3 linked regions of the Oryzias latipes genome follow. The main gene of each other region encodes a partner of the protein of the gene in region 3 in a complex. Links are inferred from orthologs where the notes say so. Each region holds a gene or a part of one and is shown on either strand. Other genes may lie near its edges. The genes, in order: cadherin-like protein 26, ctnna1 and ctnnd1.

Evidence for each region.
Region 1: ctnnd1 (region 3) and cadherin-like protein 26 share a complex: the UniProt entries of both Homo sapiens proteins name them as parts of the cadherin:catenin adhesion complex. The link is inferred for Oryzias latipes from reciprocal best matches to the Homo sapiens genes CTNND1 and CDH26.
Region 2: ctnnd1 (region 3) and ctnna1 share a complex: the UniProt entries of both Homo sapiens proteins name them as parts of the cadherin:catenin adhesion complex. The link is inferred for Oryzias latipes from reciprocal best matches to the Homo sapiens genes CTNND1 and CTNNA1.

What each region holds. Positions count from the first base shown.
Region 1 is NC_019865.2:18,096,588-18,100,778, reverse strand, and holds the start of cadherin-like protein 26, read right to left. Parts: upstream 2,807-4,191; 5' UTR 2,697-2,806; intron 2,594-2,696; coding exon 2,441-2,593; intron 2,350-2,440; coding exon 2,202-2,349; intron 2,062-2,201; coding exon 1,892-2,061; intron 1,819-1,891; coding exon 1,690-1,818; intron 1,602-1,689; coding exon 1,416-1,601; intron 1,307-1,415; coding exon 1,035-1,306; intron 950-1,034; coding exon 804-949; intron 721-803; coding exon 496-720; intron 417-495; coding exon 198-416; intron 1-197. UniProt on the Homo sapiens protein: Cadherins are calcium-dependent cell adhesion proteins. They preferentially interact with themselves in a homophilic manner in connecting cells; cadherins may thus contribute to the sorting of heterogeneous cell types.
Region 2 is NC_019868.2:19,904,518-19,908,168, forward strand, and holds part of ctnna1 (catenin alpha-1), read left to right. Parts: coding exon 1-133; intron 134-3,651. UniProt on the Homo sapiens protein: Associates with the cytoplasmic domain of a variety of cadherins. The association of catenins to cadherins produces a complex which is linked to the actin filament network, and which seems to be of primary importance for cadherins cell-adhesion properties.
Region 3 is NC_019868.2:14,176,652-14,180,751, reverse strand, and holds the start of ctnnd1 (catenin delta-1), read right to left. Parts: upstream 2,864-4,100; 5' UTR 2,720-2,863; exon of another isoform or gene 2,655-2,719; 5' UTR 2,577-2,654; intron 1-2,576. UniProt on the Homo sapiens protein: Key regulator of cell-cell adhesion that associates with and regulates the cell adhesion properties of both C-, E- and N-cadherins, being critical for their surface stability.

The sequences.
Region 1 (4,191 bases), on a different chromosome or scaffold from region 3:
TGCTCTGCTAACAGATACATTTCTTTATTTCCTAGTGCACTTTAACTAAAACATTTATGTTGTTTTATTTTTTTTTTCTATGCAGTTAATTATTGATATTTTTTGCCTAAATGTTACTGTCTTATTGTAAAATGTTAATAAGTTCTCACGATTTATCCTCAGATACAGTTAAAATATTTGGTGATATATGTACTCACTTAAAAACAAAAGTAGTCCAGCAATCATTGAGTATATGGCAGGTACTCCAAGGTGAAATGAAAGTGCCTTTTTTACATGACATGTATTATTCTCACAGTCACACACAACCACTTCCAGTGTCTCACGTCCAATATTGTTCTGCTGGTCTTCAATCACCAGTGATATAGAATAGTTTCCATAGGAAAGTGGTTTCAGGTTGATAAGGCCACCTTGCTGACCTGGTGAAACATGCAAAGACAGATATGTTGCTGTTTTATGCACGTGTTTAGTCATATGGATTAACAGATGTGTACATACCATAATATGGATCTAGTTTCCATTGCTTTTTATTGTCATCATTATCAAGTGAGAAATGAAATGGTCCACTATATGGATCAGCATCCAAGTCAATCACAGAAAGCATCATTTTATTGCTCATATTTCCACACATGATGATGCTGTTGTTGACCAGCTGTGGCTTGTGGTCATTGGTGTCCCTCAGGTGGATACTGATGGTGCAAGAACTTGAGGCTGGAGGATCACCTTCAAAGCCATGACAACAAGAAAAAAAAACAGAATCAGATAAACAAAGGATTTTAGATTTTGTTTCAAGTTTGTTTCAGTACCATCATCTATGGCAGCAATGACGACTTTGTAAACATTGTCAGCATCCACGAAGGGTGATTCTCTGTCCATCTTCTTAGTTGCTCTAATTTCTCCAGTTTTTTCATCAACAGAAACCCAGTTAGCTGGATCTTCTACAAGTACAAACCTGGAAACAGTTGGATAAATTAGTGTTCAAACTTTATGCAGACAAGCAAGATGTTCAGTTTCTGGACAGAATGCAGACACTTTACCTGAAGGAAGTAGAGTCTGGATCATGAACCTCTGGGGTGAAGAGAACCTTTCCTGGTTCAGACTCTTCTTTCTCAAACAAATCTACTTTAGTTTTCTGAAACTCTGGTGGGTCATTGCTATCAACCATTAGAACTTTGACACTGACTGAGTCTGGAGGATAAAGTTTGCTTCCCTGTTTAATCAATTTCCCGTTTTCACACTTAGAAAAGGGTTCAATGTTTTCTACCCCAACCTGCAAGTCGACCCAACTGTTTTTTTCATAATTCTTTTCCTGCAAAAGACACACAAATCAAGAATAATCAAAAATGAACCTTTTGTGTTTATCATTTGTGTAAATCATTTTAAAAACATTCAGATTTATTGAGAGCAAATGGAGTTACCTTAATGATGCTCAAAATACCCTCATTTGTTATTGGGTCTGTTTCAAGCTTAAAGATGTCTTCCTCATTCCCGCTGATGAAGAAGTACTTTGCACGCCATCCATCAGTGTTGGGAGTGTCTTTGTCCTCTACTGCCAATCTCAGAAGGTCATCATGGGTCTCCATTTCTGAGGCTTTAGTTTGGTACTAAAACAAGCAAAATTGAAACATTTTTTTTCATTAAAAGTGACTTTAGAGAGTAAAGCAATGACTATTAAATATAAGCTCCTCTTACCTCTCTCTCCTTGAACACTGGCATATTTGTGTTTCTGTCAACAATATTTATCGTAATCTCAGCAGTGGAGGACAATGGAGGGTCTCCATGATCCTTTGCTTGAAGAGTAACACTGTACTTGTTTTCTTTCTGGAACAAAGAAAATAGTTTTAAAGAAACTGAAGCAAAGTATAAAGAAAAACACATAAAAAACTGGCTTTACTTCATAGTTAAAACATCCAGTAAAGTTAAGATGCACAATTCTTTCATCAATCCATTTGGTCTGAATCTTAGGCTCTGGTGGATGCTGTGCAATCACACTGATGTTAAATCTGGAATTTATTGTATTTCTTTCATCCATGTCTTGAGCAATCACTTGCACCTCCAGTAAGCCTAACAGAATAAACAGAAGCAAAACAAAATTATTTCAGGAAAAAACAATTATCAATGGGTTTAAAGAAATATCCCAGCTGGGTATAAAGCTGGTAGCCTACTTGGTTTCAACAATGTCCTATATTTTTAAGTAAACCCACCTTCCTCTTGGTTTTCATCCACAGTAACAGCCTCAGGAATTTCGGTAAACTTTGGGGGATTGTCATTGATGTCCTTTATTACCACATTAAACGCTAGTTCCTTGTCAATTTTTTGGGCGGTCTCTGTGTCGTACACATCAAAGACGACCTTTGGGTAAAAACAAAGGGGTAATCAATTTTCTGGAGCTACATTGAATGATTTCATATCCAAATAAATATCTTATATCATATTTACTCACATGGAAAAAGGGGACATTTATTATCTCTCTGTCAATACGTTTGTTGACATAAACGTCTCCAGATGTTTCATTAATGGTCAAATATCCCAGATCCACTGCTTCTCCGCTTATCTCAAACCTGAATTCTTTCCCTTCTACCTTGTTATTGTACATCTAAGAGAAACATACGCAAAGTCTGATTAAGGTTTTTACATAACTAATCAGTAACTTGATATTTATTTAATAAAGCAAATTTTTTTAGATGACTTTGTTTTACCCTTGCAAGAAAGTAAGGGTAAGTCACATTCAGTTCTTCGTAAAGTTCAAATGTAGACAGAACCCATACTCTTTTAGTCCGCACCAAGAGATCCTGGAAAGGGAAAATTGGAGATTAATGTTTATAAACTTTTTCCATTCGGGGTTGCCTTTCAAACTTTTTACCACTTTACCCGTTTTTTACGAGAGTCCCGGGAACAAAGGCATCCAGCTAAAGCTGCAAATGAAACCTGTAGAAAAAAAAAATCAATTTTATTAAAATAGCAGAAACCATTTACAGTACGGTAAAGTGTGAGGACTGGTATTCTTTCACTTAAGTGTTTTCTTGGTTGTTAGTTTAAAAAACTGTGTGCCGCAGTACACTAGTGTCCTGTGAGAGGTGTTTCCCATGGTGCTATTCAATGTAATCTAATTAGTCTAAACCCCATATACTATTTCCAGCATCTCATCTCTGTGTTCATCATAAAAACTAAGTTTCACATAGAGTATGTAGAAATATGAAAGATCATAACTTTGTTTTTTAATGACTTTTGCAGTTCTAGGACCAAAAGTTCAGTTTTGTCACACAAAACGTACTGATGGACTTGAAGCTTTGGTGCAGTGTAAATAAGGAAGATTTACTTGATTTGTGGGAAATCTTTGATGCTGTTATGATACTCTACATGCTGCTCGTCATTATGCTTTCATCTGAACACAAAGGTTAGTTGCTCACTTTTCTTCGCAGGCAATCAAAAACTAGTTTTGCTTTTAATTACTGGTTGTTTACTTCCTGTTGGATGTATGCACTTTATTTTATTAATTATCATTCTAACTTCTGATTTTTAAGACTGCTTTTTGAACTCTGTTGACCTATACATTAAAGGCTGCTGTGTCTGGATTTTTCTTCTTCTCCACATACCATCTGGAGGAAGGAGACGTCTGAAAAAGCAGGAGTTTGGAATACAAACTGATAAGATTCAGAAACTGTGACCTACTACTCCCATTTCTGCAGCAAGAAGTTTAAACAAGTGTATTGTCAACTACTAACCTTGCATCTCTTAGATTCATTATTTTTTTCTGTAACCAGGGCAACCGATTCTAAATAAAATGGGAGGTCAGACAGGCATCCACAGAACTGCTGTCTGTTTTCAGCTCTCAGTATGAGAAATTCTACTGAGCTCCTGTCTGTTTTTCAACACTGTCTTTTGCTTTTAGAAACAACTTTGACTCTGTTCTCCACCAAGAACTGTGCTTAGACGTGGTCTGGTCCCTTTACCCCTATCAGAATCTTTTCTCTGGGGTTTATTCATTTATGGTCTGAGCTTATTTTACTTTTTATTTTATCATACTGGAAATTTGTTCTCCGCATTTGACCCATCCCCTGGGAGAGGGAACCGCGCTCGGGAGGTAGTAGCGTTTAGGGTCTTGCTTAAGGGCCTTCACTGGGTAATGTTAATTGCTCGCCATTGATATGGTAATCGCCACCAGTACCAGTGTTCATTCCCCTCCGGGAATCG
Region 2 (3,651 bases), about 5.7 Mb from region 3:
AAGGCTCATGTTTTGGCTGCTTCAGTGGAGACTGCAACTCAGAACTTCCTTGAGAAAGGAGAGAAGATTGCAAAGGAAAGCCAGTTCCTCAAGGATGAGCTGACGGCTGCAGTGGAGGATGTCCGTAAGCAAGGTATATTAAAAAAGACGCATTGCTGCAGTGTGCGGTTTCTGTTTTGTTTAGAGCGCTTCTGTAAATGGAATAGATAATTAATAAGTCATGGTCTGTGTACTTATCATTTTCCCCAGTGCAAAACTTTGAAATAAGGGTATTTATTGGACAAAATCAACTCCTAATTTATTAATATCCATTTCTGCTTTGAGGTTTTTATGAAGAGCATTTAATGACTTTTCATTAATACATGCAGACATTTAGTAACTTGCCCCTAAACTAACAGTTATGTAAAACGAGAGTGTTATACACACAAAATGTGACTGCATTTGCTAATTCTAGTGTGGGACTAAAGCTTGTATATATTTCAGAGGTTTCTCAGTTAGATTTAACTTTTACTACAATTGAAAGATTTGTCCCACCAATCCTCGCTAAGTTAGTAATGCATAAACAATTTTTGTGGCAGATGTGATGCTTAAAGACCCACTCCAATGAAAATCGTGTTTTTTAAAATGTTCTTGCAGACTTTTTCTCATAAAGGAGGATATATAAAAATAACATTAAGATTAAAACAGCATTTCTGAGGATTTCTTTACTCAAATTGTCAATCGTTGCAAGGTTGGGTTTGTGAGGGGCTGTAAACAAGTGGGAGAGAATGTAAGCAAAAGCAATGGGAGATTGGGAAATGAACGCAGGGTTACTCAGCGTCAACAGTCCTGGCCACAACTGACTGTTGTGGCCAGTTTCTAGGAAATGACACAGGATTTTTTTGGGGGGGCTAAAAACGTCACTATCATAATTAAAAGATCAATGGGAACTCTGTTACAAGATATCAAAAGATGATTGGAATGGTTCTTCAACCTATCCCTGTTACAATCCTCAGAGATTGAAGCAACACTTTGTGAACTGAGAAAAATTTTTAATAGCTTGCTTTTTTTAAGTGAGTCAACCCACTTAGTCTGTTTCTGTTCAGTTTTATTACACATTTATAAAGCTAATAGTCCAACATGGTCAGCAGCACAATTGCAGTCATTCCATCATCTCACAACCAGAAAATATTCTAATTTATTCCTTTTCCCACCCTGCAGTTGCTGTGTTTTGACATGTAAGCAGGGTTGAGGCCCAGAAGCCATGACTTGGGTGGTTTTGATGGCTGTGTCACTATCATTTCTATTTCCTGCTGATTTTTTTTTTTTTTACTGAGTTAGAAATCTTCTACTGTGAATAGTTTTTAGTCTGCTGATGTCTAGTAAGTTAGATATCCTCCACTCTAGATAGTTGGGAGGAAGCAGACGTGTTGCTACATAGCATGTGGCTTGTTCAGTGACCAGGTATGTTAATGTAGTTGTGATAAGCTGTCACTGTGTTGGAATTCAGTGACTGTTAGCTAGTGCCTAGGCCTGGCTGTCAACTATGCCATGCTGCTCAGTGGAGCATGATGAGACTTAAAATACAGCCATCGACTTTGGTAACGTTCCCACTCCCACCATTGCATGGAGCTATGGCTTACAGACTTTTTAAAATGGGAAGAAAAGATATTTCACATAAATCAGATGACTGTTTATTGTATATATATTTTTTAAAATCTCTCTATTAGCAGATTTTCTATTTCGTGGTTGTTTCAACAATTTACCATGTTTATAAATGCTGCTTAGTGAAGCTGAGAAATTTCCATGCCTTTAAGCAGCCATTTCTGCTTACCCATGTCCTTGCTGACCCTCGCCTTGCCCTTCCTCTCTGTCTCTACCTTGTCAAATCTTCTGTAAGGTTATTTGTGTCATATACATTTTAATCATTTTATCATGCACACTTTGGGCTGCATCGCTCAGGGAGCGATGGATAGATGAAAGTTTATTAAAGGCGTACTGATCGCTATCTGCCCTCATGAGAATGGCCTTATTGATTTTCTTCATGGGGGGAATAACAGCCTCGGGGTAGTGTGTCTGTGGTACATATTCTTCATCATTTGCACAAACTGTTGTAGCTTTGGCTTGTAAAATACCTCAATGTGCAATCATTGCCTGTTTTAATATTTTTTTTTAACTTCAACAATGCTTAGCAATGGCGTGAGCAAACAAACTGGTATTTGATATTTTAATAAGATTGTATTTGACACAAAAATAAAAAAAATCTTTGTTAATTGTTCTAACCACACACCACTTAAATACCTAAGGAAAGATGTTAGTTCCTGTACTTTCATAATTTTACCCATGTTCAGTGGACGGATTATTGTAACCTAATAGTGGAATTGCAGTTTCCCATAGCTTAGACTCTATAGATGCACTGCAAACAGACAATTGAAGGAGGAAAAGTGAATACTTGTGAAGCACCTTGACATATCTGGGACTGTGGCTGTCTGGGAGATGACGTCTTCTTACTTTTAACTCCAACTGCTTTTACAGAAACTAAGTGTAGGTTGTTTTTCGCTTGTCGTATTTAGGATGTTGCACAGGTTTATTAATCAATCTAATCCAAGCTTTGTTTTCTTCTTGACTTAAGAAAACTGTACGGTAGTTAAGAATATCTTATCAAATGGAAGATATATACATTATTCTCCATAGAGACATTCTAAGGATTGTAGCAACCACACAGAAAAAAAACCCTCAAAGCTTTTTATAAAACACTTAAAAAATTATCGGATACGGTCTACAAACCTCACTTCCACAAAACAGTTCTGACCCAGATGGTACAAAGTCTGGTGCTACAAGTAAAGCAGAGCATTGTCCACACCCACCTGCTCCTGATTAGCAAACTGCAGTGGGTTCAATACAAACAGAATCTGCAGTCTGAGTAGAAGAACTCATTTTCAATGGTTTTCATAAAACCTGCTACTGGTCAGTTTAAAATAGTATAGTTATTTTCTATACTGACAAACATTTTTGTCAACATCCTTTGAATAAGCTTGTTTAGACTGTTGCTGCTGTGCTGGTCTTACCTTTGTTTTGCCGGAGAATCATTGTTTTTTATTCAGTCTAAGATTGAGCATGCTTGGTGGCTCTGCTTCAGGTGGTATTTCCAGTTTTAGAAGGAACATGTCTTCTGCACAATTTGCAGTGCGCGTTACTACCAGCCAAACATATTTATTTACCGGCCAAATTATTGTAACTCTATTTTACACAGAAATGCCAGTAAAATTATTTAAGAAAATGCACAAAAGTAATTGTCATCTAACTGTGAACTCAAAATCAGAGAAATTCACGATAGATTTCCTAATTCTGCCTCCAGGTGATCACATTTTATATTAAGTCATATAAAAAAAACTAAAAATAATCAAATGTTTATAATTATTGCTATACATCATTGACATTAAAGCTGCAGCTCTCACAAAGAAGGGGAGCAAGAGGATTCAGCACATTTTGTTACACTGCTTTGTAATTCTACAAAGACGCTGCTAAAACACACGGGATTTAATTCTGTTATTGTTTAGAGAATTCCGTTTTTATTAATGTCCTTTTGAATTGATTATTTTTTTTATCTACCACGTCTTAAAGGCCAGTCAGTAAAAATACTTTCACTCTGTGTTTACATTTGGATGTCAC
Region 3 (4,100 bases):
TCTACAAGCAACAGTTTCTTAAAACAATAAATAGAAAATGGCAGTGTATTTTAAAAGTAACATAATTAGAAAACCCCCACAGTGAAAGACTCCAAAACCCAATGGCAGTTCAAAGGGACGAGTCTTCTGCGGTCAGCAACATCTGACTGAACTCTGACTCGCCACAAGTCACATCACAAGCCCATCTGATTCAGCAGCCATCAGTCAGCATGACTCACTCACTCTGATCATCAGAACAAACCAACAATAAATCCTTTGTAGGCTTAATTAAACTCTGCCTAACAGAGCGACAGACAGAAAAAAACATGTTCGATGTTGGCCAGGTATTCACATATTTCCAGCTAGTTAATAGTGTAGTTTGATGTTAAGATTATTTGATACCAAAGCAGAGTGTTGGTTGTACTGAGGACTTACCCCACTAATTAATTTACCTTCTAACACTTTAAAATAGATTTTAAAAATCCACACCAATGGAAGTGCTGTTTGTGGTGTTTTGAACATGTTCTTGTTGCATTTTTGTCCTGTAGAGGACATATATAAAGAAAATTAAGTGGAAAATTGCACGTACTATTTGTATTTTTTTTATCAAATCGTGATGAATCCGGAGCAGACCAAAAATATGCCATTGAAAAAAACATGCTTATGGGTGTGATGTAGCACCTACAACGGTAAGCAACAAACTCCCTGCTCTGCTCCATTCTGGTGCATCCACTCGTAGACGACTAGATCCATGAATGTCTTCGTTTTCCTCATACAAGCTGCCATCCGTCTCAAAACTGTACGGCTGGATAGCTCCAATATTGATCCCTATTTTTGCTGCACCGGTAATGTTAGGTTGGGTCTGTGAGCTAGCGGCAGACAGTGCAAACAGGTGGATGACAGGAGGTGGGCAATCCTGCCCACAACTCAGAGGTGAATTTCGAATGAACTCCTGCCGATCTGCAGAAACTATGTCATAGAAAATTACACAGGGTTTTTGATTTTAGCTAAAAAAAGCATTAATCATAATTAAAAGACCACTGGGAATGCTTTTACAATAGATCAAAAGATGATTGTGTGGGTCTTTAACAAGGATGCTTTATAAAAAAAAAATAGAAATAAATGGACCTACATCCACTTGTTTGAGTCTATTAAAAAACCTGAAGTGTGTCTATTAAAAAACCTGAAGTGTGTGAAAAAGCAGACCAAATTACAGTGGGTGGTGGGATCATTTGTCAACATCCAAACAATGGCTAGAGAGCACAGATCCTCCAGAACAGCCGACATGTGGTGTTACCAGGATCCCCTCCACCACAAACCTGAACCGGTCACACCTATAGTTCAAACACATCCTCTTTAAACATCCACCAGACGCCACTAAAGCCAAAGGAAGGCCTATCGACGCGAGGAATTATAAGCCTGCGTGTAGTCGGTGTTTACGAAGGAAAACGCCAGTCTGTTAGTTCAGGCTGAAGCTGACAGTTGTCCCCACCCAAGCATTTTCCCAACAAAACAAGTTTACACATGACCCACCCAACAGGTTCCGTCTGACAAAGCCATAATCCCAGACTAGCAGACCACAAATGAGAGACCACCGCGCTGACGGTGGAATTAAATACACAAAAGTATTGAGCCTGGATGTTACGTACATACAACAAACACACACACACACACACACACACACACACACAGGCACCCGCACACTTTTCACAAAACATGTACTTCAAATACTGAAGTAAAGTCGGCTGCGCAAACACCCAAAAATATATTTAAAAAAAGAGAAAAAAAGAAACACTAAATTAGTAGAATAAACGTACTTATCGTACTTAATAATCGTGTACCAGTACATAGAAACGCTCCCAGAGACTAGCTAGCTGCTGCTGGGTGAGGTCATTTTACCAGTCCGTGTATCCCAAACACCGCTTGGAAAATGCTACAACTAGTTAGCATTTCCTTCGTCTAACGGCATCCCACACAGCCTTGTGAATGATTAGTAGGCAGAAGACGGGAATATAGGTCACCAGCCGCGAGGAAAGTTAGCTAGAAAAACAAGTTCAAGCGCACACCAGACATGAACCTTTGATATAAAAGAGCTCATTTCGAACAAAGGCTGTCGCAAGAGAGTTCCTCGGTGGTGGTGCTAACGCAAGAGCTCGGCTAAAATGGATCAAATCAACCCAGTTGGGCTGGAAGCTAGCTCCGTCTGACCTGGTTTGACTGTCCCGAGTCGTTAGCATCACAATAAAACTACCACGAAAACGCTCCCGACAGCGGGGCTAGCGCTAGCAAAGCAAACACAGATGATCAAACAGCAATGAAGGGTTCAAAAACGCGACATTTTCAGGGCAACGTGGACCTTTTTCTCTCGGTATACACGATGGCGTCAAAGGCCTAATAATATTTGGAATGAGCACGGCTGGTGACGAAGGAACAAATCAGGGTCTGAACTTGTGCGCTAGCTTTTATTAGCATAAAAGATTCGTGCTGATCTGTCGGAATACATGACCACTCCTTAGAACTGCAGAGTGTCCCGGCAATCTTCAAAGAAAATCCACGCGCGCGACAAATCATCGGTAAAAATCCAAGAATTGGCTCACCTGGTTGAGGAAATCCTGCACCCGACCTCACTCAGACTACCCAGTTTTAGGTGTTTTCTGCCTCTTCCCGTCTCCTAGCTTAAAGAGGTGAGATATCACCGAGTTTCTATCAAAGGGAGGGTGGGATCAACAAGCAGCTTTACCGTAAAGCACTGCGCTCCCACAAAAAACCAGCAGGTTGGTGGTTACAGACACCACAGAGTTCTGCTTTTTGCGCAGTTTTTATTTTTTGTATAAATAGTTTTAATGGACAAACTGAGCTACACCTCTAGTCTGCCGGGGATTTAAATTATGTCGCAATATCACCTTCCGCGTGTCCCTCCCTTCACGATGTCACGTCTGTGATTGCTCAATAAGAATGGCCAAGGGGCAATAGATAGTCTCACGTGGGTGGGAGTACTTCAGCTTTTTTACATGAATGAATTCCCCCAAAATAAGGTTAATCAGATCCTTCACATTTTCTTAACATTTATATTTCTTACCAAAAATGTAACATACCTTGTTTTGGCAAATTATTTATTGCTCAAGCACTGTTTTTGCTTTTTTTTTTTTTTTAACATGTCAGTCTAGAATTGGCTGTGAAGGTCTTTTTTCATTTTCAAGATTTTGGGGTAAAAATCGAAGAAAAAGAAATGTGAACTTGAAAAACAAGGCATCAGCGTGGACATACAAACATGGAAAGAGGAACAATGCCAGGAATTCCCCCCAGCTTCCGTATGAGCTCCCCCCGAAGTGCTTTTGTAATAGGAAGAAGGCATAAATATAATCAACAATACTGCTCACTTGGAATATATGGTGATTAAAACAATAAAATATTTTGGGCACAAACGGAACCTCATAGTATTTAAACAAATAAATTAGGTTTTTAATTTTTAAAAACTTAGTCATTCAGAAAATATGAATCTATCTTATACGGGAAGCTTTACTTTTATCTAAAGTTTAAAGATTTGCAGCTAAGTTTTGTAGCCTAATGTTTGAATCAGGAATCTGTGTTTTTCAAGCAGTTGTCATTCAGTAGAAGTGTTAATAAACCCATCCCCAGCTGATTTACTTTACCAAAACTCAAAAAGATGAGCAACAACTTACAGTATTTTTGCGTCACAGATTTTTCATCAAGAATGTGCGGCAGCAGTTTACAAATGTGGTGTTGCAAGCTTCACTTTCAACGAACACAGGCGTGTCAGTTAAGTTTTAAAGAAAGTTCAACCCCAAAAATACGTATTTAGAACCAATTCACGATTTTCTTTTAATCTTTAAATCACAATTAAGCTTATAGTTTTAAAGTCTAGTTTGTCAAATCTGACAAAGACCTTTTAAAGACTTAATTGATATCCATAATAGCAAAGAAGCTATGCTGGTTGTGGGATTCTTAACAATGATTCTAAGTAATTGAAATTATAGCTCTAATGTTTTAAAACAGAACAGACTTAAGTCTTTCACTAGGGATTTGCTAAATAAAATCATAAAACAAACAAAAAAAGTTGTTTTTCTTGTCTATTATTTTCATTTTGTACCTTATGTAAG